Anolis sagrei: one gene and its partners. The protein of the gene in region 2 purifies or fractionates together with the protein of the main gene of each other region. This does not show direct contact. Links are inferred from orthologs where the notes say so. Each region holds a gene or a part of one and is shown on either strand. Other genes may lie near its edges.

Region 1 (7,134 bases), on a different chromosome or scaffold from region 2:
ACAAAGATTAGACCTTACATTACTAATTTATGCAAATGTCTTTTAAAACCACCTAGACATGAAAAGCCACATTAAAATTTAGAATTTTCAGAAAAAGAAATAACTTACAAAAAAGTAAAAAAAAATGCTAAGGGAGAAACACTTACTTAATAAATCTTGGTCAGGGAATTAACTGAGAAAATGGCATAAGAAGTGAAATTATATCGATGTAATCGAGAAAGATGCTGTAATTGCTGTTAAATTTGGGGAAAAAACCACCACTGTGATTTTGACAACAGAATTCTTGCACCACATTTAATGGTGACCTCACATGTAGTAGCACACTAAAAAAACTATGGTTTTATAATCAACAAGTCTTATATGAAATCTTACCTGTGTTTCATGATTCCAGACACAGACACTGCCATTGTAAAGACTAGCCAACATCCATGGCTCTGTAGGATGTAAGTCTACACTTTTCACACGGTCAGATCGAGCTGTGAGCTTACGCTTTATATCAAGTCGGAGAGGCTAAAAAGAAGACAGTTGTTTAAGATATTTATGTCACAAGAAGGACCAATTCGAAACAACCAGTGATATTTATACAAGAGACACATTGCTTTGACCTCAACACAGTCAAAATCTTTCAGATATTGGCTTGAGTAACTCAAGAATCCATTCCAAACCAATACATACTACAAACGTGAACACATCTTTACTAGTCTCCACTGAAATATTCTTATGCAAAGCAAACATGCTGCCATATATCCATACTAAAGAGCTGGAGACTGTTTTGAATGCAAGATTTTTGCAAATATGAAAACTGTTAAGGAGAGATCCAAGATCTGGACGAAGGAGGCTACTGCCATTTTATAAAGTGGAACAGATAAAAAGGCAATATCATGTCCTTCATAAACTATGCACAACTTATATTAAAGTATAGAAAGGGAATGAAGAAGCATCAAGGGGATAGCTGTAATAAGTTAAAAATAGGCTAAATGTTCCTTAAGAACATTTATTTTTGTTTACAACAAAAAATATTAAGTTCATTTCAGACCTGTTGCTAACCACAATTGACAGGTCTGGACAAAATGAGCCACCACACATTCTTGACTGCTGGAGGTATTAATAATTATTGTTCTTTCTTAGGAAATGTGAATTAAAGCAAGAACTCAAGCATTTCCCTGAAATTGTACACATCCACAGATTAGTGGATCAAACAATAGATTGTGTAAACTCAGAGAATTTGCTTCTTTTGTTGCAACTTACTGAGTTGCTGCTTTCACTAAGATATTCACCATGACACATATTTGGGTCTCTACCTCACGAGGGCAGAATTGCGGGTTCTGAAATTTTAAAAAGTGGATTCTGATAAACCATTATGAAGACTTTCTTTTTACGTACACTTTTCGGACAGCAGAATGTTTCCAAAAGCAGTTGGCTCACCTTCATTAGAGATTTCTAATCAGAGATCAGTTGGTCATTTATTAGGGATGCTGTAATAGATGCTGCATCTCCAAGACAGAGTAAGGTATCATCCTTTCTAAAACACTGAATTGTGACTGTGCCCTCCAAAAAACTCTTTCCTGGTTAGCCACAACCAATTCTAACCCTATTGTGGGAGTTGATGTCCAAAACATCTGGAGGGCCCATGTTTGCCCATGCCTGATCAACAGTGTAGAATGAATGGAGTTTGATACCACTTTAACTACCATGGTTAGATGCTGGATGAGGCTTTTTAGTCTTTTCTGTTAAAGAATGCTGATGCCCTATCAAACTAAAACTCCCATGACTCCATTGCATTGAACCATAGTGTCAAACTGCATTCATTCTATGCTGCAGATGCCCCTAAGGGCCCTCCCACACAGCCCTATATCCCAGAATATGAAGGCAAAAAAAAAATCCCACATTATCTGAGTGTGGACTCAGATAATCCAGTTCAAAGCAGATATTGTGGATTGGGTTGTTGTAGGTTTTTCGGGCTATATGGCCATGTTCTAGAAGCATTCTCTCCTGACATTTCACCTGGATCTATGGCAGGCATCCTCAGAGGTTGTGAGGTCTTAGAATCTTAGAATCATAAGAGTTGAAAGAGACCTCATGGGCCATCCAGTCCAACCCCCTGCCAAGAAGGAGGAAAACTGTATTCACAGCACCCCTGACAGATGGCCATCCAGCTTCTGTTTAAAAGCCTCCAAAGAAGGAGCCTCCATGACACTCCAGGGCAGAGAGTTCCACTGCTGAACAGCTCTCAGTCAGGAAATTCTTCCTAATGTTCAGATGGAATCTCCTTTCTTGTAGTAGTAGCAGTAGTAATTTTATTGATTAGCCCTTAGGCCATATCACAATAAGAAACAGAACAACAAGGCCTTGTAGTTTGAAGCCATTGTTCTGTGTCCTAGTCTCCAGGGCAGCAGAAAACAAGCTTGCTCTCTCCTCCCTATGACTATGTCTCACATATTTATACATGGCCCTCATCATGTCTCCTCTCAGCCTTCTCATCTTCAGGCTAAACATGCCCAGCTCTTTAAGCCGCTCCTCATAGGGCTTGTTCTCCAGACCCTTGATCATTTTAGTTGCCCTCCTCTGGACACATTCCAGCTTGTCAAGATCTCTCTTGAATTGTGGTGCCCAGAATTGGACACAATATTCCAGGTGTGATCTGACCAAGGCAGAATAGAGGGGTAGCATGACTTCCCTGGATCAAGACAGGTCTTGTGGGATTTCCTGTGGGACATAGTGGGATTTCCTGGCTTGATATTCTTGGACATAGGGCTGTATGGAAGGGCCCTTAGAAAGGCCTTTCTCTCCCCCTTTCCCTCCCCAAACATCCATCCCTGCCCGAGGAAAAGGAGGGGCTCTGCAGAATGCCAAGCCAAGGCCCGTCTTGAGGAGGCCTTCAGGAGCCTGGACTCACCATGGCTTCAGCTCCCGCTCAGGGCTGCTTCAACCTCCCGAAGCTCCCAGGTTCGCTCACTGCCCAATTCACCGACGTGGAGCTTCCGGCTTTGGCTGTTCTCGCGAGAAATCCAAGCCAACGCGAAAACGCCAACTCAATCACTTCCGCCCAGTGCTCTTCGTTTGCGGAGGGAGGGAGCGAAAGAGACACAATAGATCTACGAAACGTATAGACTGCCCATTCATAGGGTTATTGAGGTTCTCCTTTTGGAATTATTATTATTATTATTACTAGCCATCCCCTGCCACGCGTTGCTATGGCCATGTCTAGTGATCTGGGAAATAAAGTAACGAGAAAGTGTTGGTTTCTAATACATGTAATTTCTTTATGCTTGTGGGTAAACAGTATTTCTTGTTGTTTCTTTGTCAGTGTTGATGTGGAGAGTGTCTGATTTGCCTTCTCTGGAACATGCAACATATAATTGTCCTTTTTTAGGGGTCCCTTTCAAATCTATGATACTATATTTGATACTATATCTCTCTGTGTGTGAATCATATATATATATATATATCTACATCTATGGCTGGATGGCTCTTTGTCAGGAGGGCTTTGATTATGTTTTCTTGCCCTGGTGAAGGGAGTTGGACTGCATGGCCTTAAGTATTTTTTGTTGGTCATGGGGGTTCTGTGTGGGAAATTTGCCCCAATTCTGTCGTTCGTGGGGTTCAGAATGCTCTTTGGGACCTTGACTCCCAAATGTCAAGGTCCCAACTCCCAGTAACTACAACTCCCCCAAGCTCCATCTGTGTTCCTAGTTGGGCATATGGAATATTCGTGCCAAGTTTGAACATTATGAACATTACATTTTTATTTATATAGACCAGACGTCCCCTCCCATGCATTGCTATGGCTCAGTCTTGTGATCGGGAAAATAAAGTAATGAGAAAGTGTTGGTTTCTAATATATGTAATTTCTTTATGCTTGTGGGTAAACAGTATTTGATTATGTTTTCTTGCCCTGGTGAAGGGAGTTGGACTGGATGGCCTTAAGTATTTTCTATTGGTCATAGGGGTTCAGTGTGGGAAGTTTGCCCCAATTCTATTGTTCGTGGGGTTCAGAAAGTTCTTTGATTGTAGGTGAACTGTAAATCCCAGTAATTACAACTCCCAAATGTCAAGGTATATTTTCCCCAAGCTCCATCTGTGTTCCTAGTTGGCCGTATGGAATATTCGTGCCAAGTTTGGTCCAGAGCTATCCTTGTTTGAGTCCACAGTGCTCTCTGGATGTTGATGTACTACAACTCCCAAACTCAACGCCAATGCCCAGCAAACCCTTCCAGTATTTTCTGTTGGTCATGGGAGTCCTGTGTGCCACGTTTGGTTCAATTCCATCATTGGTGGAGTTCAGAATGTTCTTTGATTGTAGGTGAACTATAAATCTCAGCAACTACAACTCCCAAATGACAAACTCTATTATTTTTTTTTTGAGTGATGGTCACTCCTTGGGTTAGTAGGTGCCTTGTGGCCAAATTTGGTGGCAATTAATCCAGTGGTTTTTTGAGTTATGTTAATCCCACAAACGAACGTTACATTTTATATAGATTACTAGCCACCCCCTGCCACATGTTGCTGTGGCCCAGTCTTGTGATCTGGAAAATAAAGTAAAGAGAAAGTGTTGGTTTCTAATATATGTAATTTCTTTATGCTTGTGGGTAAACAGTATTTCTTGCTGTTTCTTTGTCAGTGTTGATGTGGAGAGTGTCTGGTTTGCCTGCTCTAGAGCATACAACATAGAATTGTCCTTTTTTAGGGGTCCCTTTCAAATCTATAGTTGTGTGTGTGTGAATCATATCTATATCTATGGCTGGATGGCTCTTTGTCAGGAGGGCTTTGAGTACGTTTTCTTGCCCTGGTGAAGGGAGTTGGACTGGATGGCCTTAAGTATTTTCTGTTGGTCATGGGGGTTCTGTGTGGGAAGTTTGCCCCAATTCTATTGCTAGTGGGATTCAGAATGCTCTTTGATTGCAGGTGTACGATAAATCCCAGTAACTACAACTCCCAAATGTCAAGGTCTATTTCCCCCAAGCTCCATCTGTGTTGGGCATATGGAATTCCTAGTTGGGCATATGGAATATCCGTGCCAAGTTTGGTCCAGATCCATCATTGTTTGAATCCACAGTGCTCTCTGGATGTCGATGTACTACAACTCCCAAACTCAATGTCAATGCCCAGCAAATCCTTCCAGTATTGTCTGTTGGTCATGGGAGTCCTGTGTGCCATGTTTGGTTCAATTCCATTGTTAGTGGAGTTCAGAATTCTCTTTGATTGTAGGTGAACTATAAATCCCAGCAACTACAACTCCCAAATCACAAACTCAATTTTTTTTTAGTGATGGTCCTTGGGTCACTAGGTGTCTTGTGGCCAAATTTGGTGTCAATTCATCCAGTGGTTTTTGAGTTATGTTAATCCCACAAACAAACATTACATTTTATTTATATAGATAATAATTATTATTATTTTACTGTTTTACTGTATTCATCAAGAGCTGTCTTTTCCCCCAAGGAACTATTTAACAGCTTCATGACATCCATACTTAGCTGGAAGCAAGTTCCGCTCAAGGTGAAGAATTCTTTTAAATTCAAAACCATTTTATGCCCTATTGATTCTTCCATTTCCTTCTGTACCTTATTATAAAATTTTTGTACTCTGTCACATTTCCACCAGTATAGGAGCCATTTTTTCCACATCTGTGCCAACCCAATTTTGAGGTTGATTTAGTTATGTGTGCTAATTTAATTGGGGTTCTGTACCATTTAGTCAATATTTTCCTTTGTGTTTCTCTAATCCTTATGTACTTGATATGTTTAATTGAATTGATTGATCCAGTATTCAGTGTCTGAATCATTGTTATTCAGGTCCTCTTTCCATATCTCTACCAATATTTGTTTCAATTTATATCGATTTCCAACAAATTTCTTGTATATTAAACCCATCAGGCCTTTCTCCTTTTCTAATTTTAACTTTAAAATTAGATCAAAATCTGTTTCTGGGCCTTCATTTTTCCTCCAATTCATGATCCTTTGTTTCAGTCCATTCCAAAGAAGCCAGTTACAATGACAACAATTGTCCATAATTGTCTCATCTGGGTTTAGGAAATCTCTTATCAATTTTTATCCATTTTGTTTTAAATTTGTAGGCTGTTAGGAATTGTGGGAGTTGAAGTCCAAAACACCTGGAGGGCCAAAGTTTGCCCATGCCTGCTCTAGATCATCTTAACAGTTCTACTACTTTTTCAAGAAACTTTTGTATACCTGTGTTGTCCTATTACTGGGTTTTTTGTTATCTGCTTTTTATTTTTAAACTTCTGTCTTTCAGTGTGATTGTTGCACACAGGCACACAAACGAATTTCTAATTCATGCTTACAGCACATACTGCATTTTATGTTTGAATTGTAGAATGATCACAATGGTGTCATATCATTGCACAACTGGGACAAACCCTGCGGTTTGTGTTAAATAATGTATTTCAACTTTGCCTTTGATGAGCCCTAGGCTATACTTGTAAGGCTTAATCTTAGCTATTATGCTTTGTAGTTTAAATAAATTCCTCTGAATCCAGTGGACTGGGAATAAAGCTACTATTTTACATACATATAGCCTGAATATGATCTATTGAAAACAGTGAGACTTTCTTCTGAGTAGCTGTGCACAAGATTTTATTTTTTTTCCTTATTTTTTTATTTAACAGTTGAAAATCTTCATTAGGTAGAGTCATTGCAGTAGTGTCATTTCGTAAAGACATTTTTTGAATTCAGCAGGAGCAGAACTTGTTTCAAAGTGTTATCTGATCCTTTTTATAAAAATGTAACAAGATTTTTAGAGAGATAACATGGAAGTTGTATCAGTCTTAAGAGTGGCTTCCACAATCATTAGAACCGACAGTCAAGGATTCTAGGATCCAAAATTCAACACTGTAGAACCCACAGCTTAGTACCACTAATCTAACAGTTCACTCCAAGGGTGCATCTACACCAGTGGTTCCCAGCCTTTGAGCCTCCAGGTGTTTTTGACTTCAGCTCCCACAGTTTCTAACAACTGGTAAGCAGGCTGGGATTTCTGGGAGTTGAAGACCAAAACACCTGGCGGCCCAAACCATTGAGCTACACTGAACAATTAATGAGAGTTGTAGTTTTACAAGGTCTTTAGCCTTCTAAAGAATGCTGGTGCCCAAACAAACTGCAGCTTTCGAGATGTAAT
Region 2 (7,613 bases):
CCAAATGCCTGCTTGAACATCCAAGTTTTTAGTCTTCTTCGGAATACCATCAGCGAGGAGACTGATCTTACCTCCATGGGAAGGGCGTTCCAGAGCCGAGGGGCCACCACAGAAAAGGCCCTGTCTCCCGTCCCCGCCAGCCGCACCTGTGAAGCAGGCGGGATAGAGAGCAAGGCCTCCCCAGAAGATCTTAGGGTCCTGGTGGGCTGATAGGCCGAGATACGTTCGGATAGGTAGGTTGGGCCAGAACCGTTTAGGGCTTTAAAGGCCAACGCCAGCACTTTGAATTGAGCCCGGTAGCAAATCGGCAGCCAGTGGAGCTGGTGCAGCAGAGGAGTTGTGTGCTCCCTGTGCTCCGCTCCTGTTAGTATCATGGCTGCCGACCGTTGGACTAATTGGAGCTTCCGAGCCGTCTTCAAAGGCAACCCCACGTAGAGAGCGTTGCAGTAGTCTAAACGGGATGTAACCAGAGCGTGGACTACCGTGGCCAAGTCAGACTTCCCAAGGTACAGGCGCAGTTGGCGCACGAGTTTTAACTGTGCGAATGCTCCCCTGGTCACCGCCGAAACCTGGGGTTCCAGGCTCAGCGATGAGTCCAGGATCACACCCAAACTGCGAACCTGCGTCTTCAGGGGGAGTGCGACCCCATCCAACACAGGCTGTAACCCTATACCCTGTTCGGCCTTGCGACTGACCAGGAGTACCTCTGTCTTGTCTGGATTCAATTTCAATTTGTTCGCCCCCATCCAGACCGTCACAGCGGCCAAGCACCGGTTCAGGACCTCGACAGCCTCCTTAGTGACAGGTGGAAAGGAGTGACAGAGTTGGACATCATCTGCGTACAAATGACATCGCACCCCGAAACTCCGGATGATCTCACCCAGCGGCTTCATGTAGATGTTGAACAACATGGGAGACAATATTGAACCCTGAGGAACCCCACAAGACAAAGGTTGTGGGGTTGAGCAGGAGTCCCCCAGTAACACCTTCTGAGACCGACCCTCGAGGAATGAGCGGAGCCACTGTAGAACAGTACCTCCAAGACCCATTCCCGCGAGGCGTCCCAGAAGGATACCGTGGTCGACGGTATCGAAGGCCGCTGAGAGGTCCAGCAGCACCAACAGGGACACACTCCCCCTGTCGAGCTCCCGGCGCAGATCATCGACTAAGGCGACCAAAGCTGTCTCGGTACCATGCCCCGGCCTGAAGCCAGACTGTGCCGGATCCAGATAATCCGTGTCTACCAAGAATGCCTGGAGTTGTGAGGCCACCACACGTTCCATTACTTTGCCCAAAAAGGGGAGATTGGAAACAGGCCGATAGTTGACGAATTGAGTGGGGTCCAGTGATGGTTTCTTCAACAGCGGTTTTATCACAGCTTGCTTTAAGCTGGCTGGAAATATGCCTTCCCGAAGGGAGGCATTAACCACCACCTTCACCCACTCGGCCAATCCCCCTCTGGCCTCCTTCAGAAGCCAGGATGGGCAGGGGTCTAGGATGCATGTGGTAGCTCTCATTCCTCCAAGCACCATGTCCACATCCTCGGACATACTTGACAGATGCAACTGTCTTTTGGGCTGCATAGGTCAACAGCAAGCTAGACTATTAATGGTAAGGAGTTCACTTTGACCCGGGCTGGATTTGAACTCATGACATTTGGTCAGTAGTGATTTAATGCAGCTGGCTATTAATTAGTTGCGCCACAGCCGGATCCCTGGAGGCTAGGACACGGAACAGTGGCTTCAAACTACAGGAAAAAGAAATTCCACCTGAACATTAGGAAGAACTTCCTAATTGTGAGAGCTGTTCAGCAGTGGAACACTCTGCCCTGGGGAGTAGTGAAGGCACCTTCTTTGGAGGCTTTTAAACAAAAGCTAGATGGGTTGTTGTAGGTTTTTTCAGGCTATATGGCCATGTTCTAGAGCAGTGTTTCTCAACCTTCCTAATGCTGCGACCCCTTAATATAGTTCTTCATGTTGTGGTGACCTCCAACCATAATTTTTTTTGTTGCTATGTCATAACTGTAATTTTGCTAGTTATGAATCATAATGTAAATATCTGATATGCAGGATGTATTTTCATTCACTGGACCTAATTTGGCACAAATATCAGATACGCCCACATTTGAATAATGATGGGGTTGGAAGGGCGCGGGGGTTGATTTTGTCATTTGGAAGTTGTAGATGCTGGGATTTATAGTTCACCTACAATCAAAGAGCATTCTGACCTCCACCAATGATGGAATTGAACCCAACTTGGCTCACAGAACTCCCATGACCAATAGAAAATACTGGAGGGGTTTGGTGGGCACTGACGTTGAGTTTTGGAGTTGTAGTTTACCTATATCCAGAGTGCACTGTGGACTCAAACAATGATGGGTCTGGACCAAATTTGGCACAATATGCCCAAATGTGAACACTGGTGGAGTTTGGGGGGAAAGACCTTGACATTTGGCGTGTTGTCATTGCTGGGATTTATAGTTCACGTACAATCAAAGAGCATTCTGAACTCCACCAATGATGGAATTGAACCCAACTTGGCACACAGAACTCCCATGACCAACAGAAAATACTGGAGGGGTTTGGTGGGCACTGACGTTGAGTTTTTGAGTTGTAGTTCATCTACATCCAGAGAGCACTGTGGACTCAAACAATGATAGATCAGGACCAAACTTGGCACGAATACTCATTATGCCCAAATGTGAACACTGGTGGAGTTTGGGGGGAAAGACCTTGACATTTGGTGTGTTGTCGTTGCTGGGATTTATAGTTCACGTACAATCAAAGAGCATTCTGAACCCCACTGACAATAGAATTGGGCCATACTTCCCACACAGAACCCTTGGCTCACAGAACTCCCATGACCAATAGAAAATACTGGAAGGGTTTGGTAGGCACTGACATTGAGTTTTGGAGTTGTAGTTTACCTATATCCAGAGTGCCCTGTGGACTTGGCACACAGAACTCCCATGATCAACAGAAAATACTGTGTTTCCTGATGGTCTTTGGCGACCCGCTTGACACGCCCTCGCGACCCCCCCAGGGGTCCCGACCCCCAGGTTGAGAAACACTGTTCTAGACGCATTCTCTCCTGACGTTTCACCTGCATCTACAGCAAGCATCCTTAGAGGTAGTGAGAAGCTAGATGGCCATCTGTCGGGGGTGCTTTGATTGTGCTTTTCCTTCATGGCAGAGTGTTGGACTTCATGGCAGAGTGTGGTCACTTCCAACTTTATTATTCTGTGTCATCATGGGAGTTGTAGCTTCACAAGCCTTCTCTGCCAAAGGGTGCTGGTGGTACCTCACCAAACTACAAATCCCAGTCCAAGTGGATCCAAAGCGAGAACGTAGAAAGCTCTTAGACTTAGATGAAGGGCAGACGACACCAAATTGGGACGGATAGCCAATAGTCCAGAGGACAGGAGCAGGATTCAAAACGATCTTGACAGATTAGAGAGATGGGCCAAAACTAACAAAATGAAGTTCAACAGTGACAAATGTAAGATACTCCACTTTGGCAGGAAAAACGAAATGCAAAGATACAGAATGGGGGACAATGCCTGGCTTGAGAGCAGTACATGTGAAAAAGATCTTGGAGTCCTCGTGGACAACAAGTTAAACATGAGCCAACAATGTGATGTGGCGGCAAAAATAGCCAATGGGATTTTGGCCTGCATCAATAGGAGCATAGTGTCTAGATCTAGGGAAGTAATGCTCCCCATGCTCTATTCTGCCTTGGTTAGACCACACCTGGAATATTGTGTCCAATTCTGGGCACCACAATTCAAGAGAGATATTGACAAGCTGGAATGTGTCCAGAGGAGGGTGACTAAAATGATCAAGGGTCTGGAGAACAAGCCCTATGAGGAGCGGCTTAAGGAGCTGGGCATGTTTAGCCTGAAGAAGAGAAGGCTGAGAGGAGACATGATAGCCATGTATAAATATGTGAGAGGAAGCCACAGGGAGGGAGCAAGCTTTTTTTCTGCTTCCTTGGAGACTAGGACGCGGAAGAATGGCTTCAAACTACAAGAGAGGAGATTCCATCTGAACACGAGTGTGAGAACCGTTCAGGAGTGGAACTCTCTGCCCTGGAGTGTGGTGGAGGCATCTTCTTTGGAAGCTTTTAAACAGTGGCTGGATGGCCATCTGTCAGGGGTGATTTGAATGCAATATTCCTGCTTCTTGGCAGAATGGGGTTGGACTGGATGGCCCATGAGGTCTCTTCCAACTCTTTGATTCTATGATTCTATGAGAGGAGATTCCATCTGAACACGAGTGTGAAAGCCGTTCAGGAGTGGAACTCTCTGCCCCGGAGTGTGGTGGAGGCTCCTTCTTTGGAAGCTTTTAAACAGAGGCTGGATGGCCATCTGTCAGGAGTGCTTTGAATGCAATATTCCTGCTTCTTGGCAGGGAGTTGGACTGGATGGCCCATGAGATCTCTTCCAACTCTTTGATTCTATAATTCTAAGGCCTGAATGAAGGAAGGCCTGAGGGAGGAGAGCAAGCACTTTTGAGGCCTTCTTTCTTTCTTTCTTTCTTTCTTTCCTTTCTGTCTTCCTTCCTTCCTTTTCTCAGCAACGTCAGTGGGAATTTCCAGCGAGGAAGTGAGAGGGCGTGGAGGGAGGAGGGGAGGCTGCGTGTTTCTTCCGCGGAGGGAGGAGGAGGAGGAGGCCGCGCTTGGCGGGAGTCGCCTGCCTGCCTCCTTCCTCTCCTCCTCTCTCCTTTCATTTCGCTTTCACACCAACGACCAAGCCCGAAGCAGCGGGGCCGGCCTGCTCCAATCTCTCCCTCACACACTCTCTCTCTCTCTCTCACTCCTCGAGGCGCCTCCTCCTCCTTCAGGCTCTTCTGGATTTGTTCTTTTTGAGCCCACCAGGACTTCTCTCCCTCTTTCCCTTCAAACCAGGACTATCCTGAGGTTCAAGAAGACCATTTCCAAGTCCTGAGGTGAGTGATGCCCAGGGAACACAACAGGCCACCTGACTGGATAGTGTTTGAATGTGATGACTTGGTGTTTCAGTATTATTTACATATTGTTATTATTATTTCCAAGTCCTGAGGTGAGTGAAGTGGAGGGAATACAACAGGCCACCTGACTGAGTTGTGTTTGAATATTATGATTTGGTGTGTCAATATTATATTGTTATTGTTATTTCCAAGTCCTGAGATTAGAGATTTTTAGCATTCTTATCTGGTGTTTTAATATTATTATTTTCTTCATCCTATTATTATTGTTGTTGTTGTTGTTGTTCCCAAGTCCTGAGATTAGTGATGTCCAGGGAATATAACAGGACACCTGACTGAGTTGTCCTTTAATATTATTTGGTGTTTTAGTATTCTTATATAGTGATTTAATTTTCATATTCTTCTTATTATTATTATTATTTCCAAGTCCTGGGGTGAGTGATGTGGAGGGAATATAACAGGACACCTGACTGAGTTGTCTTTTAATATTAGTTTTTGGTATAACAATATTATATTGTTATTGTTATTTCCAAGTCCTGAGATTAGTGATGATTTAGCATTCTTATCTGGGGTTTTAATATTATTTTCATATTATTATTATTATTATTATTATTATTATTATTACTATTGTTGCCAGGTCCTGAGATTAGTGATGATTTAGCATTCTTATCTGGTGTTTTAATATTATTTTCATATTATTATTATTATTATTATTATTATTATTATTACTATTGTTGCCAGGTCCTGAGATTAGTGATGTTTTAGCATTCTTATCTGGTGTTTTAATATTATTATTTTCTTCTTCTTATTATTATTATTACTATTGTTGCCAAGTCCTGAGATTAGTGATGTCCAGGGAATATAACAAGACACCTGATTGTGTTTTGATATTATTTGGTGTTTTAGTATTCTTTCCTGGTGTTTTAATAGTATTTTCATATTATTGTTATTATTATTGTTATTATTTCGAAGCCCTGTAGTGAGTGATGTCCAGGGAATATAACAGACCACCTGATTGTGTTTTGATATTACTTGGTGTTTTAATCATATTTTCATATTATTATTATTATTATTATTATTTCTTCCAAGTCCCGAGGTGAGTGATGCGGAGGGAATATAACAAGCCACCAGATTAAGTTGTGTTATATATTATGATTTGGTGTATTATTATTATTATTATTATTATTATTATTATTATTATTATTTCAAAGCCCCGTAGCAAGTGATGTCCAGGGAATATAGCAGGCCACCTGATTATGCTTAAATATTATTTGGTGTTTTAGTATTCTTAAATGGTGTTTTAATTTAATTTCATATTGTTATTGTTATTGCCAAGTCCTGTGGTGAGTGGTATCCAGGAAATACAACAAGCTACCTGACTGAAAAGTTTTTCAATATGATGATTTGGTGTTTCAGTATTATTTACATATTGTTATTATTATTTCCAAGTCCTGAGATCAGTGATGTCCAGGGAATATAACAGGCCACCCAATTGAGTTGTGTTTAAATATTATTTGGTGTTTTAGTATTCTTATCTGGTATTTTAATTGTATTTTCATATTATTATTATTATTATTATTATTATTATTATTATTATTTCCTAGTCCTGAGGTGGGAGGGAATATAACAAGCCACCAGATTAAGTTGTGTTTTAATATTATGATTTGGTGTATTGTTATTGGTGGCGCAGTGGGTTAAAGCACTGAGCTGCTGAGCTTGTTGATCGAAAGGTCACAGGTTCGATTCCAGGGAGCGGCGTGAGCTTCCGCTGTTAGCCCTAGCTTCTGCCAACCTAGCAGTTCGAAAACATGCAAATGTGAGTAGATCAATAGGTACCGCTCCGGCGGGAAGGTAACGGCGCTCCATGCAGTCATGCCGGCCACACGACCTTGGAGGTGTCTACGGACAACGCTGGCTCTTCGACTTAGAAATGGAGATGAGCACCACACCCCAGAGTCAGACATGACTGGACTTAATGTCAGGGGACTACCTCTACCTACCTATTATTATTATTATTATTATTATTATTATTGTTGTTGTTGTTTTGTTGTTGTTATTGTTATTATTATTATTTCCAAGTCCTGAGGTGAGTGATGTAGAGGGAATATAACAGGCCACCTGATTGAGTTGTCTTTTAATATGATTTGGTGTTTTAGTATTCTTATCTGATATTTTAATATTATTTTCGTATTGTTGTTGTTGTTGTTGTTGTTTCCAACTCCTGTAGTGAGTGATGTCCAGGGAATAGAACAGGCCACCTGATTTAGTTGTGTTTTAATATTGTGATTTGGTGTTTTAATATTATTTTCATATCATTATTATTATTTCCAAGTCCTGTGGTGAGAGATGTGGAGGGAATGTAACAGGCCACTTGATTGAGTCGTGTTTTAATATGATTTGGTGTTTTAATAGTCTTATCTGGTGCTTTAATATTATTTTCATGTTGTTGTTGTTGTTGTTGTTGCCACGACCTGTAGTGAGTGATATCCAGGGAATATAACAGGCCACCTGATTGAGTCGTGTTTTAATATGATTTGGTGTTTTAATAGTCTTATCTGGTGTATTATTATTATTATTATTATTATTATTATTATTATTTTCAAGTCCTGTGGTGAGTGATGTCCAGGGAATATAACAGGCCACCTGACT
Region 3 (6,894 bases), on a different chromosome or scaffold from region 2:
CAAAACCTCCCCAATACCTAAGGCTGCTGCTGTCTCCCCAGCCCTGCATCTTTTATACAGTCACTGCCTCCTGCAGCTGCCACTCTTTGTCACTGCCATTGCCCCAGGTTTGTTTTGAAGGGTGAGGATTGGGGTTGGCAGGGGCTTAGATAGTGGAAACTGCATGGTCTCTCTTTTGCTCTCTGGAGGTTGCAATGGAGAAGAGAAGCAAAGGGAGAGGGCCAGGAGAGTTGGCTGAGAGAGTGGGAGCCATGTGGTTTTGTCGGCTCAGAGCAGCTGGGAAACTTGTGCAACTGCTCTGGCTTTTTTTGTCCTGATTGCCACCATCAAGAGTGGACATAGCAGTGGTGAGGGGATGGGGAGACGGGAGGAAGCCCTGTGTCCCAGGAGTGTGAAGAGGTGGCAACTGGAGAAGCAATGGGGAGGCACGGTCTTCCTTCCGTCTCCCTCCCCTCACTGATGCTGGTTCCACTCCCAAAGGCACAAGCAGGATTGAGGAAGAATGACAGAAGTAGCACAGCTTTCCCAGCTGATTCGAGCCAGGGAACCAGAACCAGCTGATGAAGAAAGTCCACAAAGAGAAAACCTCAAAGCCCTGCCTCCTGCAACCCAAATCACTGCCAATGAACCACACAACTCCAGCTCTCAGAAGGATCTTCTTCCTTCAAAACAAACCCAGGGTTACCAAGGCCCCATGTACACTGCCAAATAATGCAGTGTAGACTCATATAATGTAGACTGAACTGCATTGAACTGGATTATGTAAGCCTACACTGTTCAGTGCAGTTAGGAATTCATCCCACAAGAGAGGGGAAAGTGGAGGGAACCGCCTTACCCGTTTCCTCTGATCCTTTACCATCTTCTGGGATGGCCAGCCATCTGAGATCCTTACTACATTGATGCCTGTCTTTCTCCCGCTTTTCTCCATTCCGAGTTGGATAATACCTGACTCCTGAAGATGAGTTTGGGCTCTTGTTTCTATGCACTGTGGAAATGGAGCCCCAATGAGTCTCACTGGAAGTGCTCCCATGCCATGTAATGGCCTCTGTGGGATTCCTGTGGTACTCCATTTCTGAAGCGCATTGAAACGGAGCCCTAAACCCATGGGATGAAGTCCTTAATCTGCATTCTAAAATTGCATTACATGGCAGTGAAGATGGGGCTTCAGGTGATGGCAGCAACAAAAACCAGCTACTGGGAGGCAGCGACAAAGGTTCAAGAAGTGGTGACAGCATTGGGGGCAGATTTGGGGAGGCTCTCTAGGGTCTGGCCAGGACAGCTGAGCAGTAAGACAAAAAAGTAAAGTTGAGTTGAGAATTAATTCCCCCTACAAGAAAAAAATCAAGGCTCAAATAAAAGAAGTGTTTTACTATGTTTTTATGACAGAACCAATTAGGAAGTGACATTTATAACCCAGGAACAAAAATCGTGTTACATAGTGTTATTTATAAAGTGCATTAAAATGAGAAACTGGGTCCTGTTGACGGCATACAATCTAAAATGTATGTGTAGACACACAACCATAAATAACAAATCGGAAACCATACAGATAACTGCAAAACAAACCATTCTGATAAAATGCAAGAAATATATATTCTAAAACAAACAAAACAATCAAAAATGATACAAAGCAAATTGGCCCATATATGTGATCAAAATATGAAAGTTTAAAAAACAATGTTAATACAAAATCCACATAGCTTTGGAAAACAAAATAAAAAAGTTTTCAATTAAACAATAATCGTAAAAACAAATTAAACATAATTCTAGGGTGCACCTACACCAGGCATGGGCAAACTTTGGCCCTCCGGGTGTTTTGGACTCCAACTTCCACAAGTTGGAAGTTGGAGTCCAAAACACCTGGAGGGCCCAAGTTTGGCCATGCTTGATCTACACTGTGGAATTAATGCAATTTTTCACCACTTTAACTGCTATGGTTTAGTGCTATGGGATCCTGGGAGTTGTATCTTTGGGCAGGGAAGGCTCTGTGAAACTACAGCTCCCAGAATCCCATAGCACTGAGCCATGGCAGTTAAAATGGTGTCAAACTGCATTAACTCTATAGTATAGGTGCACCCTATAATCAATGCTATGGGATACTGGGAGTTGTACTTTTTTGGCAGGGAAGGCTCTGTGAAACTACAGCTCCCAGCAGGCCCGTAGCCAGGATTTTGTTTCGGGGGGGGGGGGGGGGTGATTTTTTTTCAGGGGGGGTTCGGGGGGGCTGAGTTTCCGGGGGGGGGGGGCTGAGTCTGAGTGAAAGAGGGTCTACCCTAGCAAACCTTTTGTATCATTACTCCAATACCCCCATGCATATGGGATATATTGAGTATGGTGATCAGATCATGAGATGAATAAACATAACAGTTTAAATAATGCACCAGTAAGGCCTTTTCGCGAACCACCATGAGAATTTGGGGGGGGGGGGGGGCTGAAGCCCCTCAAGCCCCCCCCCCCCCCCCCCCGGCTACATGCCTGGCTCCCAGGATCCCACAGCATTGAGCTATGGCAGTTAAAGTGGTATCAAACTGCATTAACTGTACAGTATAGTTGAACCCTATAATCAAAGCTATGGGATCCTGGAGGTTGTACCTTTTGGCAGGGAAGGCTCTGTGAAACTACAGCTCCCATGATCCCATAACATTGAGCTATGGCAGTTAAAGTGGTGTCAAACTATTAACTGTACAGTATAGTTGCACCCTATAATCAAAGCTATGGGATCCTGGGAGTTGTACCTTTTGGCAGGGGAAGGCTCTGTGAAACTACAACTCCCAGGATCCCATAGCATTGAGCTATGGCAGTTAAAGTGGTGTCAAACTGCATTAATTCTAGTGTAGATCAGGCATGGACAAACTTCGGCCCTCCAGGTGTTTTGGACTACAACTCCCACAATTCCTAACAGCTGGTTAGGAATTGTGGGAGTTGTAGTCCAAAACACCTGGAGGGCCGAAGTTTGCCCATGCCTGGTGTAGATGCACACTAGATTTGTGTTTTTCTTACAATTGTTAATTGTTTAATTCAAAACCTTTTTTTCTCCAAAGCTATGGGGATTTCAGCTTGACATTGTTTAACAAGCGGTGTCAAACTGCACTAATCCTTCAAGGTAAGGATAACAGTCAATGCAGAACTAATCAAAACTTTTTCCTTAGCTGCGCATGCGCACTCCACAACGTTCTTTGGCGCATGCTCAAAACAGCCGGCCTTGAGTTTCTTAAGAGACTTCCAAAGAGGTCAATGCAGAACTCTTTGAACTTTTTCTTTAGCTGCGCATACGCACTCCACAACGTTCTTCTGCGCATGCTCAAAACAACCGGCCTTGATCTTAAGAGAGACTTCCTCCCTACTGTTCAACCACAACCTTCTTCTGCGCATGCTCAAAACAGCCGGCTTGAGTTTCTTAAGAGAGACTTCCTCCCTACCACTCAAAACTTTTTCCTTAATTGCGCATGCGCACTCCACAACGTTCTGCGCATGCTCAAAACAGCCGGCCTTGAGTTTCTTAAGAGACTTCCAAAGAGGCCAATCAAAAACCTTCCCGAAGTTGGATCCCTTCATTCTAGTGCTGTGTTCCTAGAAGCGCCATTCATATTTCCTTTTTCTTCTGTAATTTTACATTAATTCTCCAAACTTCTCTATTTGGTTTGAACTGTGTGGCTTCTTTTAGAAATAGAAAAACCAACTTCGGGTTCGGGTTCTAATTGGCCTCCAAGCTGCCGCTTTCCCACGCTATTCGCTTCGGACCGTTCCATTTTTCTCCCATTATGGGGGGAGATTAAAAAAAAATAAACGCAGTCCCAGCGAGTCCATTGAGGGGTTTTGGGAGGAAAGAGAAATACAGTCCGACACTTGGAGTGCGTGAGAGGCCTCTTTTGTGTAAAAGAACGCGAGTGCTAGAAAGGGACGCTCATTTGCTGCTTCCTCGCTCCCCCCACGTTGAGTTCTGAAGTGGGCTCGCCCGCCGCTAATCACGTGCTCCTCCTTGGCCGGTGCGTGCCTGAGGTGAACACCATGGCCGGGCTCCTCAGGACCGCTGTGTGGCTCCGCTCCGGCCTCCGGGCCCTCCGAGCCGGGTACAACGCCGCCTCGCTCGCCTCCTCCCCGGCCTCGGCGCTCTCCTCAGCGGCGGCTTCCAGCAAGGCCTGCAGGTGAGTGTGTCTGGCCTGGCTTCTGAGGGTCATGCAGGCCTCTGTGAAGAGAAAAGGAGTGAGAGGGAGGGGAAGGTCAGGAGGGCGGCCTTTATTTTGATCTTCCTTTGCTCTGTTTCGGCTTGGCCGATGCCTGCCTGAATGCTGCTACAGGTTGAGCATCCCTTCATTCCCCAAATGCCCAATATGGATCCACGTGGGTTCCATAGCACTGAAGCTATGACAGTTAAAGTGGGCCCAAACGGTGTAGATCAGTCATGGGCAAACTTAGAATCATAGAGTTGGAAGAGCTCAGTTTAAAAGCTTCCAAAGAAGGAGCCTCCACCACACTCCAGGGCAGAGAGTTCCACTGCTGAACAGCTCTCATAGAATCATAGAGTTGGAAGAGACCTCGTGGACCATCCAGTCCAACCCCCTGCCAAGAAGCAGGAAAATTGCAAAGCACCCCTGACAGATGGCCACCCAGCCTCAGTTTACAAGCTTCCAAAGAAGGAGCCTCCACGACACTCTAGAGCAGAGAGTTCCACTGCTGAACGGCTCTCACAGTCAGGAAGTTCTTCCTCATGTTCAGATGGAATCTCCTTTCTTGTAGTTTGAAGCCATTGATTACATCCCGAATAGATTAGTGCAACGCGCTCTACGTGGGGCTGCCTTTGAAGACGGTTCGGAAACTTCAGCTACTCCAACGGGGGGCAGCCAGATTACTAACTGGGGCGACATACAGGGAGCATACCACTCCCCTGTTGTGCCAGCTCCACTGGCTGCCAGTCCATCTCCGAGCCCAATTCAAAGTGCTGGTTTTGACCTATAAAGCTCTATACGGTTCTGGGCCAGCTTACTTGTCCGATCCACCCCTACTACCCATCTCGTAATCTAAGATCATCCGGGGAGGCCCTGCTCTCGCTCATCAGTTGCGCAAATGCATCTGGTGGGGACGAGAGACAGGGCCTTCTCGGCTGTGGCCCCTAACCTATGGAACACACTCCCAAGTGAGGTAAGATCTGCTCCCTTTCTCCTGGGTTTTAGAAATAAATTAAAATCATGGCTTTGGGATCAGGCCTTCGGACAGTAGATGTTTGTAGAGTTTAAAGGACATGGACTAGAATGACAATGTGACTGGCGAGACTGTTTTTATTCTTTATTGTTTTAATGATTGCTAATGTACTGTCTAATTATGATTTATGTTTAATTGTGGTTTTATTATTGTGGTTGTTATGGTTTGACATCGCGTCAGTGTCCAATGTATGGTACTGAAGTTTTGTCAGTTATGTGTGTAAACTGCTTTGAGTCCCCCTAGGGGTGAGAAAAGCGGTATAGAAATACTGTAAGTAAGTAAGTAAAGAAAGAAAGAAAGATTAATTAATCAATTAATTAATTGATCCCTGTTCTGGTCTCCAGGGCAGCAGAAAACAAGCTTGCTCCCTCCTCCCTGTGACTTCCTCTCACACATTTATACATGGCTATCATGTCTCCTCTCAGCCTTCTCTTCTGCAGGCTAAGCATGCCCAGCTCTTTAAGCCGCTCCTCATAGATCTTGTTTTCCGGACCCTCGATCATTTTAGTTGCCCTCCTCTGGACACATTCCAGCTTGTCAATATCTCTCTTCAATTGTGATGCCCAGAATTGGACACAATATTCCAGGTGTGGTCAAACCAAGGCAGAATAGAGGAATAGCATGCTTCCCTGGATCTAGACCAGGGGTCCTCAGACTTTTTAAACAGAGGGCCAGGTCATAGTCCCTCAAACTGTTGGAGGACCAGATTATAATTTGGGGAAAAAAATGAATGAATTCCTATGCACACTGCAGTATCTTATTTGTAGTGCAAAAAACACTTTAATACAAGGATTAAAATGAAGAACAATTTTAACAAATATAAACTTATTCATATTTCAGTAGGCAGTGTGGGGCTGCTTTTGGCTGATGAGATGGAATTGTTGTTGTTGTGTGCTTTCAAGTCATTTCAGACTTAGGTTGACCCTGAGTGAGGGCCGGGTAAATGACCTTGGAGGGCCGTATTCGGCCCCTGGGCCTTAGTTTGAGGACCCCTGATCTAGACACTATACTCCTATTGATGCAGGCCAAAATCCCATTGGCTTTTTTGCCATCATATCACATAGTTGGCTCATGTTTAACTTGTTGTCCATAAGGACTCCAAGATCTTTTTCACACGTACTGCTGTTGAGCCAGGCATCCCCCATTCTGTATCTTCGTATTTCATTTTTTCTTCCTAAGTGGAGTATCTTGCATTTGTCACTGTTGAACTTCATTTTGTTAGTTTTGGCCCATCTCTAATCTGTTAAGATCGTTTTGAATTCTGCTCCTGTCTCCATAGCACTGAAGCCATGACAGTTAAAGTGAGCCAAAACTACAGTGTAGATCAGTCATGGGCAGACTTAGAATCATAGAATCATAGAGTTGGAAGAGGTCTCGTGGACCATCCAGTCCAACCCCCTGCCAAGAAGCAGGAAAATAATAATAATAACTTTATTTTTATACCCCGCCAACCATCTCCCCTAGAAGAGTCTGGGCGGTTTACAAGGGACTAGCCCAAAAATTACAATAAAACACAACAAATTAAAACATCAAATATGAAAATATAAAAACAGTCACAATTGTAAGCAAACATCAAGCAATATGGCTGAGATAAAGAAACATCACTTAGTGGAGGGAGTGCATGGGAAGTGCAATAATCCAGTAAGCAGGGCTGGAAATGTCATCAAAGGTGTTGAGGTAGACAATAAGAGGGCC
Region 4 (7,774 bases), on a different chromosome or scaffold from region 2:
CAAAGGATCTTAGAACATTCTCAAGCCGCCTGTCAATTTATGGTGGCCTCACAAATTTCATAGGGTTTCCTTAGGCAAGGAATTCTTAGGTATGTTTTGTCAGTTTCTTCCTCAGAAATGCAGCCTGCAGGTAGTTGGTAGTGATATCTTGTCTAAGTACTAACCAGAGCTGACTTTGCTTAGCTTCCAAGATCAGAGGGCATCTGGTGCATTTTCAAAACAGATGAAGAAATGTGTGATAGGCTCTTGTAATCTTCATGTTGGAACATCTGCAATGTTAGTAAGAGCTGTATTGCTGATCCATGCCCATTCCCCATAGCTATTTTAATTTAAATTTATTGAAATTGAAGGATCCCCTCCAGCAGACATTGGGTTTCTATTTGCAGCACAAGGCATGTCGATACTCAAACATAGTGCTGGTATAGTTCAGTGAGTAAAATACTCTAGATGTGTTTACTTCTGTAACAAAAAATTTGGTACCAGAGGCAAAAATAATATGGAAAGAGCAGAGATAGGCTCTTATCCACATGTTTCAGCAAACCTTTTATTCAAAATGTAGTATGTGTACATGGAAAATAAAACAACTATGTCACATCTATCTTTCATAAGTCAGAAAAAGTATTTGGAAACATCTAAAAGTTTTGAAGATAAATAACATTGTATTCTTTTTTAAGAGGCTGCTTAATTAGATACAGTGCTGCTGAACAAATTGAAGCTGTTTCGATATCTTCTTGGGAATGGCAATTTTCTATCACCATAATCAAGGAGGATGTATAAAAAGTTACCTTTTGAATTACAACTCCCAGAATCCCCCAGCCAGAATGACCACTATTTGCAGCCCAAAAACAATGTTTTTGAATTCTAGCATCAAGCTAGTTTTCCATTAAAGATAGCTGATTCAGTCAGGATAAAAAAGCCCAGGTATTTTAATTAATTAGTCATTAACAAAGTTATTGGAAGAGAGAATAATTTTAATGCTCACACAAAGCAATTTTGCTTCTTTCCTAGGTGAAAAATGTCATATATCTGCTTTATGTGATATATTTTTAAAACTTGGTGTATAATTAAGAACCATATGTTGTCGTTTGGAATATTCTATGTATTTAATCTTGGTTTTAATTTTTTTGTAGATTGGTAGTGCCTGTGTTTGTGTTTTACAGAAGCAATCTTCTGCTTACAGGCAAATTTCACAATCTGTTCATCAGTAAATCACTGAGAAAGTAACTATCGGAAATGCAGCCCTGAAGAATTATGTGGTCACTTTTGGCAGCAGCGATGAGTGTTTTCTCCAGAAGTAGCAGTGAGCATGACCCCACATAACTGAGTCACCTCAAGTTACATTCGGATTTCTTTTTCTTGGAAATGCAAAATACAGGCTGAAGTTTCACTCATAGCAGGATTTATTCCAGTGGTATATTGGAGCCAGGATGTAACAGAATCCATGCATTGCAACTTTATGATAAGAGAGAAAGCTAACCTTAAAAGCTGTGGCACAGACACCAAGAACTGGGAAGCCCTGGCCCTTGAGTGCTGTAGCTGGAGGCCACTATTACCAACAGTGCTGTGGAATTCAAAGAGGCATGAATGGAGAGCGATAGGGAGAAATGTGTCAAGAGGAAGGCTCCTCAAGCAAATCCCCAAGGCTCTACTGGAAGTCAATCATACTGGGCCAGGAGGGATTGCAGATGATAATGGTTTTATTTATCATATCAGGAGCAAACCAAAGGTACAGTTGTAATGTATTTTTTTTAAAAAAAAACACAGTTTAAAAACTTGGCAGTTATCCAAAACATAATCTAGGGCCGTTCCATTTGTCAATTACATTTATTCGTAGTCACTGCTCCAATTACTTGTCAAAATCTTGGTCCCAAAGCCATGTCTCACCACTGGGACCACCTTGACTGGCTTGTGCCAGAGTCTTAACAGTTCGATCTTTAAATCCTCATATTGTGTCAGCTTTTCCAGTTGTTTCTCTTCAATCCTGCTGTCACCTGGGATTGCAACATCGACAATCCATACTTTGCTTTTTAACACAATCGTGAGGTCAGGAATATTGTACTCCAAAACTCTGTCTGTCTGAATTTGGCTATAATAGCAGTTTATGACAGTTCGGTGTGTGGCGTTGAAAATTTCTGCCACTTCTGTAGTTGTTTTGCTTCCAGTTGCCCTACAGGCCGATGCCCTGGTTGCTCAGTAGCGGGTCCTGGTTCCTGTAGCCCACTTGTTGTCGGGTGCCCAGGAGAAGCACTTGTCGCGGTCCTTATTATCCTGGGTGATGACCAAGCCAGTATAGACTTCTTTAGAGTTTGTTTCACCATATTTAAATGGGTTGGGTGCACTTAGTTCTACTTCTCAGTTGAGACCACTCTGGCTTGGTTGAACCTGCTGGTAATTTTATTTACTTACTTATTTACTTAGGCCATCCCTCATTGGCCGAGTAGGATAGTCTTCCAGGATCAGTGTTCTGGTGGGTCTGTAGGTGACTGTGGAACCCTATTCTTGATCTGTATCTTCTCCCGCAGTGAGGGCATTAGTTTCCAGGTGGAAGGCGGTCTCGGTCGGGGTTGGCTTGACGTGTCTTCCTCTTGGCATGTTTCTCTCTTTCACCCTCCATTCGTGCCTCTTCAAATTCTGCAGCACTGCTGGTCACAGCTGACCTTCAGCTGGAGCGCTCAACGGCCAGGGCTTCCCAGTTCTCCGTGTCTATGCCGGAGTTTTTAAGGTTGGCTTTGAGCCCATCTTTGAATCTCTTTTCCTGTCCACCAACATTCCATTTTCTGTTCTTGAGTTTGGCGTAGAGCAACTGCTTTGGGAGATGGTGGTCGGGCATCCGGACAATGTGGCCGGTCCAGCGGAGTTGATGGCGGAGGACCATCACTTCAATGCTGGTGGTCTTTGCTTCTTCCAGCACGCCAACGTTTGTCTGCTTGTCTTCCCAAGAGATTTGCAGGATTTTCCGGAGGCGGCGCTGATGGAATCGTTCCAGGAGTTGCATGCGACGCCTGTAGACAGTCCACGTCTCGCAGGCGTATAGCAGGGTTGGGAGGACAATTGCTTTATAAACAAGCACCTTGGTCTCCCTACGGATGTCTCGGTCTCTGCTTCATTCGGAGAAATGCTGCACTCTCAGAGCTCAGGCGGAGTTGTATTTCGGTGTCAATGTTGACTTTGGTGGAGAGGAGCCTGCCAAGGTAGCAGAAGTGGTCAACATTTTCTAATGTTACACCATTAAGCTGTATCTCTGGCATTGGAGAAAGGTTGGCTGGTGACTGCTGGAACAGCACTTTGGTTTTCTCGATGTTCAATGACAGGCCGAGCTTCTCGTATGCTTCTGTGAAGGTGTTTAGAGTGGCTTGTAGATCTTCTTCTGAATGTGCACAGATGACATTGTCATCAGCATACTGAAGTTCTAAAACAGATATTGCTGTAACCTTGGTTTTGGCTTTACACTACTACCAGCACAGCTCCCAACATCATAGAAGCAGTTAAGCCCCCCCCCCCCCCCGCCAATGACAAGGTGGCACCCGATGGGGGGATTATTGTTGTTGTTGTTTCTCAAAACCATGAGAAAGAGTAGGTTCTTGTGGGTTTTTCCGGGCTATAGGGCCATTTTCTAGAGGCATTTCTTCTGACGTTTCGCCTGCATCTATGACAAGCATCCTCAGAGGTAGTGAGGTCTGTTGGAATTAGGACAATGGGTTTATATATCTGTGGAATGGCTGGGGTGGGGCAGAGAGCTCTTCTCTGCTGGAGCTAGGTGTGAATGTTTCAACTGACCACCTTCATTAGCATTGGAAGGCCTGGCTGAGCCTGGGAAAATCTTTTGTTGAGAGGTGTTAATCTGTGCCTGGTTGTTTCCTCTCTGCTGTTTTGCTGTTGTAATTTTAGAGTTTTTTAATACTGGTAGCCAGATTTTGTTCATTTTCATGGTCTCTTCCTTTCTGTTGAAATTGTCCACATGCTTGTGGATTTCAATGGCTTCTCTGTGTAGTCTGACATGGTGGTTGTTGGTGTGGTCCAGCATTTCTGTGTTCTCAAATAATATGCTGTGTCCAGGCTGGTTCATCAGGTGCTCTGCTATGGCTGACTTCTCTGGTTGAAGTAGTTCCCTTGATGTATAGCAGGAACACTTTTCCTCTGGGTGGACCTTCATCAGCCTGGACACAGCATATTATTTGAGAACACAGAAATGCTGGACCACACCAACAACCACCATGTCAGGCTACACAGAGAAGCCACTGAAATCCACAAGCATGTGGACAATTTCAACAGAAAGGAAGAAACCATGAAAATGAACAAAATCTGGCTACCAGTATTAAAAAACTTTAAAATCACAACAGCAAAACAGCAGAGAGGAAACAACCAGGCACATCTTAACACCTCTCAACAAGAGATTTTCACAGGCTCAGCCAGGCCTTCCAATGCTAATGAAGGTGGTCAGTTGAAACATTCACACCTAGCTCCAGCAGAGAAGAGCTCTCTGCCCCACCCCAGCCATTCCACAGATATATAAACCCATTGTCCTATTTCCAACAGACCCCACTACCTCTGAGGATGCTTGCCATAGATGCAGGCGAAACGTCGGGAGAAATGCCTCTAGAAAATGGCCCTATAGCCCGAAAAAACCCACAAGAACCTAGTGATTCCAGCCATGAAAGCCTTCGACAATACAGGAGAAAGAGACTCCTGGTGGTTCCAGCGTTGGCTCCCACTTCTGGCCGCAAGAGGGCGCGGGCGGGCCTTCCCTCGGAGGGAGGCGGGTCTCGGTGCTGCCTGGGCGGAGCCTGCTGGCGCTGGCTCGGCGGACCTGCAGCTTCGGTGTTTCCCTCCGCGAAGGCGCTCTTGTCCTCGGCATGCGGCGCCTTCCTGCTTTCTTTCCCGGGCCTTTCCTCCGCTGAGCGCCTTCCTCCCCGGCTGCCATGGCGTCGTCGTCGTCGTCGAGGGCGGCGGTCCGCTGCTCCTCTCTGGAGGACGGGCAGTTCGACTCGGGCCTGGGCTCGCTGCGCTCCTTGCAGGGCCCGCTGGGCGAGGGCGAGGGAGAGCCCCCTTCCCCGGCTCCCCGAGAGGCCCCTCCGGGCAAGGAGGCGCCCGCCGAAGCCGACGAGAGGCTGGACTCCAGCTACGGCTCTGCCTCCTTAGTCGAGGCCTTGGCGGCGCTGAAAAAGACCCCCGAGAAAGAGGAGGAGGAGGAGGAGGAAGGAGAAGAGGTGGATGGGCCCCAAGGAGAAGAACGCCTCAGGCAGCAGCTGCTGGAGACCTTCACCTTCGTCTCAGAAGAAGGAGATACGTGAGTGACAACACTCCCCTCTCCTCCCCAATTTTAAGTCCCATTGCCCTTGTCTTTCACATCATTGGGCATCATGGCTAGAACTGATGGGAGTTGTGACACAGCAACATCTGGAAGGCTGCAGTTTGTCCTGTAGACTCAGGATAGTTTTGACTTCAGATCCAAGGCTTCTGCATGGCCTGCCTGATGTTCAAATGGGCTTTAACTTTGCATTGTCGAAGGCTTTCATGGCCGGAACCACTGGGTTGTTGTGTTCCAGAAGCATTCATAGAATCATAGAGTTGGAAGAGACCTCATGGGCCATCCAGTCCAACCCCCTGCCAAGAAGCAGGAAAATTGCATTCAAAACACCCCCGACAGATGGCCATACAGCCTCTGTTTAAAAGCTTTCAAAGAAGGAGCGTCTACTACACTCCTGGGCAGGGAGTTCCATTGCTGAACAGCTCTCACATAGAATCATAGAATCATAGAGTTGGAAGAGACCTCATGGACTATCCAGTCCAACCACCTGCCAAGAAACAGGAAGATTGCATTCAAAGCACCCCCAACAGATGGCCATCCAGCCTCTGTTTAAAAGCTTCCAAAGAAGGAGCCTCTACCACACTCCGGGGCAAAGACTTCCACTGCTGAACAGCTCTCACAGTCAGGAAGTTCTTTCTCATGTTCAGATGGAATCTCCTCTCTTGTAGTTTGAAGCCATTGCTCCATGTCCTAGTCTCCAGGGAAGCAGAAAATAAGTTTGCTCCCTCCTCCCTGTGACTTGCTCTCACGTATTTATACATGGCTATCATGTCTCCTCTCAGCCTTCTCTTCTTCAGGCTAAACATACCCAGCTCTTTTAGCTGCTCCTCATAGGGCTTGTTCTTCAGACCCTTGATCATTTTAGTCATCCTCCTCTGGACACATTCCAGCTTGTCAATATCTCCCTTCAATGATAGTCATGTATAAATATGTGAGAGGAAGTCACAGGGAGGAGGGAGCAAACTTGTTTTCTGCTTCCCTGGAGACTAGGATGCGGAGCAATGGCTTCAAACTACATCTGAACATGAGAAAGAACTTCCTGACTGTGAGAGCCGTTCAGCAGTGGAACTCTCTGCCCCGGAGTGTGGTGGAGGCTCCTTCTTTGGAAGCTTTTAAACAGATGCTGGATGGCCATCTGTCAGGGGTGATTTGAATGCAATATTCCTACTTCTTGGCAGGGGGTTGGACTGGATGGCCCATGAGGTCTCTCCCAACTCTTTGATTCTATGATTCAATTGCGGTGCCCAAAATTGGACACAATATTCCAGATGTGGTCTATCCAAGCCAGAATAGAGGGGCAGCATGACTTCCCTGGATCTACACACTATATTCCTATTGATGCAGGCCAAAATCTCATTGGCTTTTTTTTGCCGCCACATCACATTGTTGGCTCATGTTTAACTTGTTGTCCACGAGGACTCCAAGATCTTTTTCACACGTACTGCTCTCAAGCCACGTGTTTCCCATTCTGTATCTTTGCATTTCATTTTTTTCTGCTTAAGTGGAGTATCTTGCATTTGTCTCTGTTGAAGTTAATTTTGTTAGTTTTGGCCCATCTCTCTAATCGGTTAAGATCGTTTTGAATTCTCCCCTGATGTTTCACCTGCATCTATGGCAAGCATTCTCAGAGGTTGTGAGGTCTGTTGGAAACTAGGAAAATGTGGTTTATATACCTGTGGAATGGCCAGGGTGGGAGAAAGAACTCCTGTCTGCTCGAGGTAGGTGTGAATGTTGCAATTGGCCACTTTGATTACCATTGAATGGCCTAGCAGTTTTCAAGGTCTGGCTTCTTACTGCCTGGGGGAATCCTTTGTTGGGAGGTAATTAGTTGGCCCTGACTGTTTCTTGTCTGGAGTTCCCCTGTTTTTGAATGTTCTTCTTTATTTACTGTTATGATTTATTTATTTATTTACTTTGCTTATATACCGCTGTTCTCAGCTCGAAGGCGACTCACAGCGGTTAACAAACAGTAAAAACAGCAGTAATTCGATGCAACATAAACAATTAACTTAACACATTATCCCCTAATAACAATAAGCAATTAACATACACAATTATTACAATAACCATGTCCAATCGTCTCATCATCCAAGCATAGATTTAGAGTTTTTTAACCCTGGTAGCCAGGTTTTGTTCATTTTCATGGTTTCTTCCTTTATGTTGAAATTGTCCACATGCTTGTAGATTTCAATGGCTTCCAGGCAATTAAATGTTAATCAAGGTGACCAACTGAAACATTCACACCTACCTCAAGCAGACAAGAGTTCATTCTCCCACCTGGGACATTCCACAGCAGCCGGGGGGGGGGGGGGGGGCTTGATGGGCTCCCCCCCCCCCCAAATTCTCAGGGTGGTCCGCGAGAAGGCCTTACTCTGGTACATTATTTAAACTGTTATGTTTATTCATATCATGATCTGATCATCATGCTCAATATATCCCATATGCATGGGGGTATTGGGATAATGA

Evidence for each region.
Region 1: the proteins of NFKB1 (region 2) and COPB2 purify together in Homo sapiens (affinity purification with mass spectrometry; 5 studies listed by BioGRID and IntAct, with this or other methods). This does not show direct contact. The link is inferred for Anolis sagrei from reciprocal best matches to the Homo sapiens genes NFKB1 and COPB2.
Region 3: the proteins of NFKB1 (region 2) and LRPPRC purify together in Homo sapiens (affinity purification with mass spectrometry; 3 studies listed by BioGRID and IntAct, with this or other methods). This does not show direct contact. The link is inferred for Anolis sagrei from reciprocal best matches to the Homo sapiens genes NFKB1 and LRPPRC.
Region 4: the proteins of NFKB1 (region 2) and NFKBIE purify together in Homo sapiens (affinity purification with mass spectrometry; 4 studies listed by BioGRID and IntAct, with this or other methods). This does not show direct contact. The link is inferred for Anolis sagrei from reciprocal best matches to the Homo sapiens genes NFKB1 and NFKBIE.

What each region holds. Positions count from the first base shown.
Region 1 is NC_090023.1:229,602,811-229,609,944, forward strand, and holds the start of COPB2 (coatomer subunit beta'), read right to left. Parts: upstream 3,011-7,134; 5' UTR 2,900-3,010; coding exon 2,897-2,899; intron 511-2,896; coding exon 373-510; intron 1-372. UniProt on the Homo sapiens protein: The coatomer is a cytosolic protein complex that binds to dilysine motifs and reversibly associates with Golgi non-clathrin-coated vesicles, which further mediate biosynthetic protein transport from the ER, via the Golgi up to the trans Golgi network.
Region 2 is NC_090025.1:27,556,164-27,563,776, forward strand, and holds the start of NFKB1 (nuclear factor NF-kappa-B p105 subunit), read left to right. Parts: upstream 1-4,610; 5' UTR 4,611-4,946; intron 4,947-7,034; exon of another isoform or gene 7,035-7,050; intron 7,051-7,613.
Region 3 is NC_090021.1:28,793,357-28,800,250, forward strand, and holds the start of LRPPRC (leucine-rich PPR motif-containing protein, mitochondrial), read left to right. Parts: upstream 1-3,871; 5' UTR 3,872-4,008; coding exon 4,009-4,145; intron 4,146-6,894. UniProt on the Homo sapiens protein: May play a role in RNA metabolism in both nuclei and mitochondria. In the nucleus binds to HNRPA1-associated poly(A) mRNAs and is part of nmRNP complexes at late stages of mRNA maturation which are possibly associated with nuclear mRNA export.
Region 4 is NC_090021.1:48,185,549-48,193,322, forward strand, and holds the start of NFKBIE (NF-kappa-B inhibitor epsilon), read left to right. Parts: upstream 1-4,765; 5' UTR 4,766-4,919; coding exon 4,920-5,287; intron 5,288-7,774. UniProt on the Homo sapiens protein: Sequesters NF-kappa-B transcription factor complexes in the cytoplasm, thereby inhibiting their activity. Sequestered complexes include NFKB1-RELA (p50-p65) and NFKB1-REL (p50-c-Rel) complexes.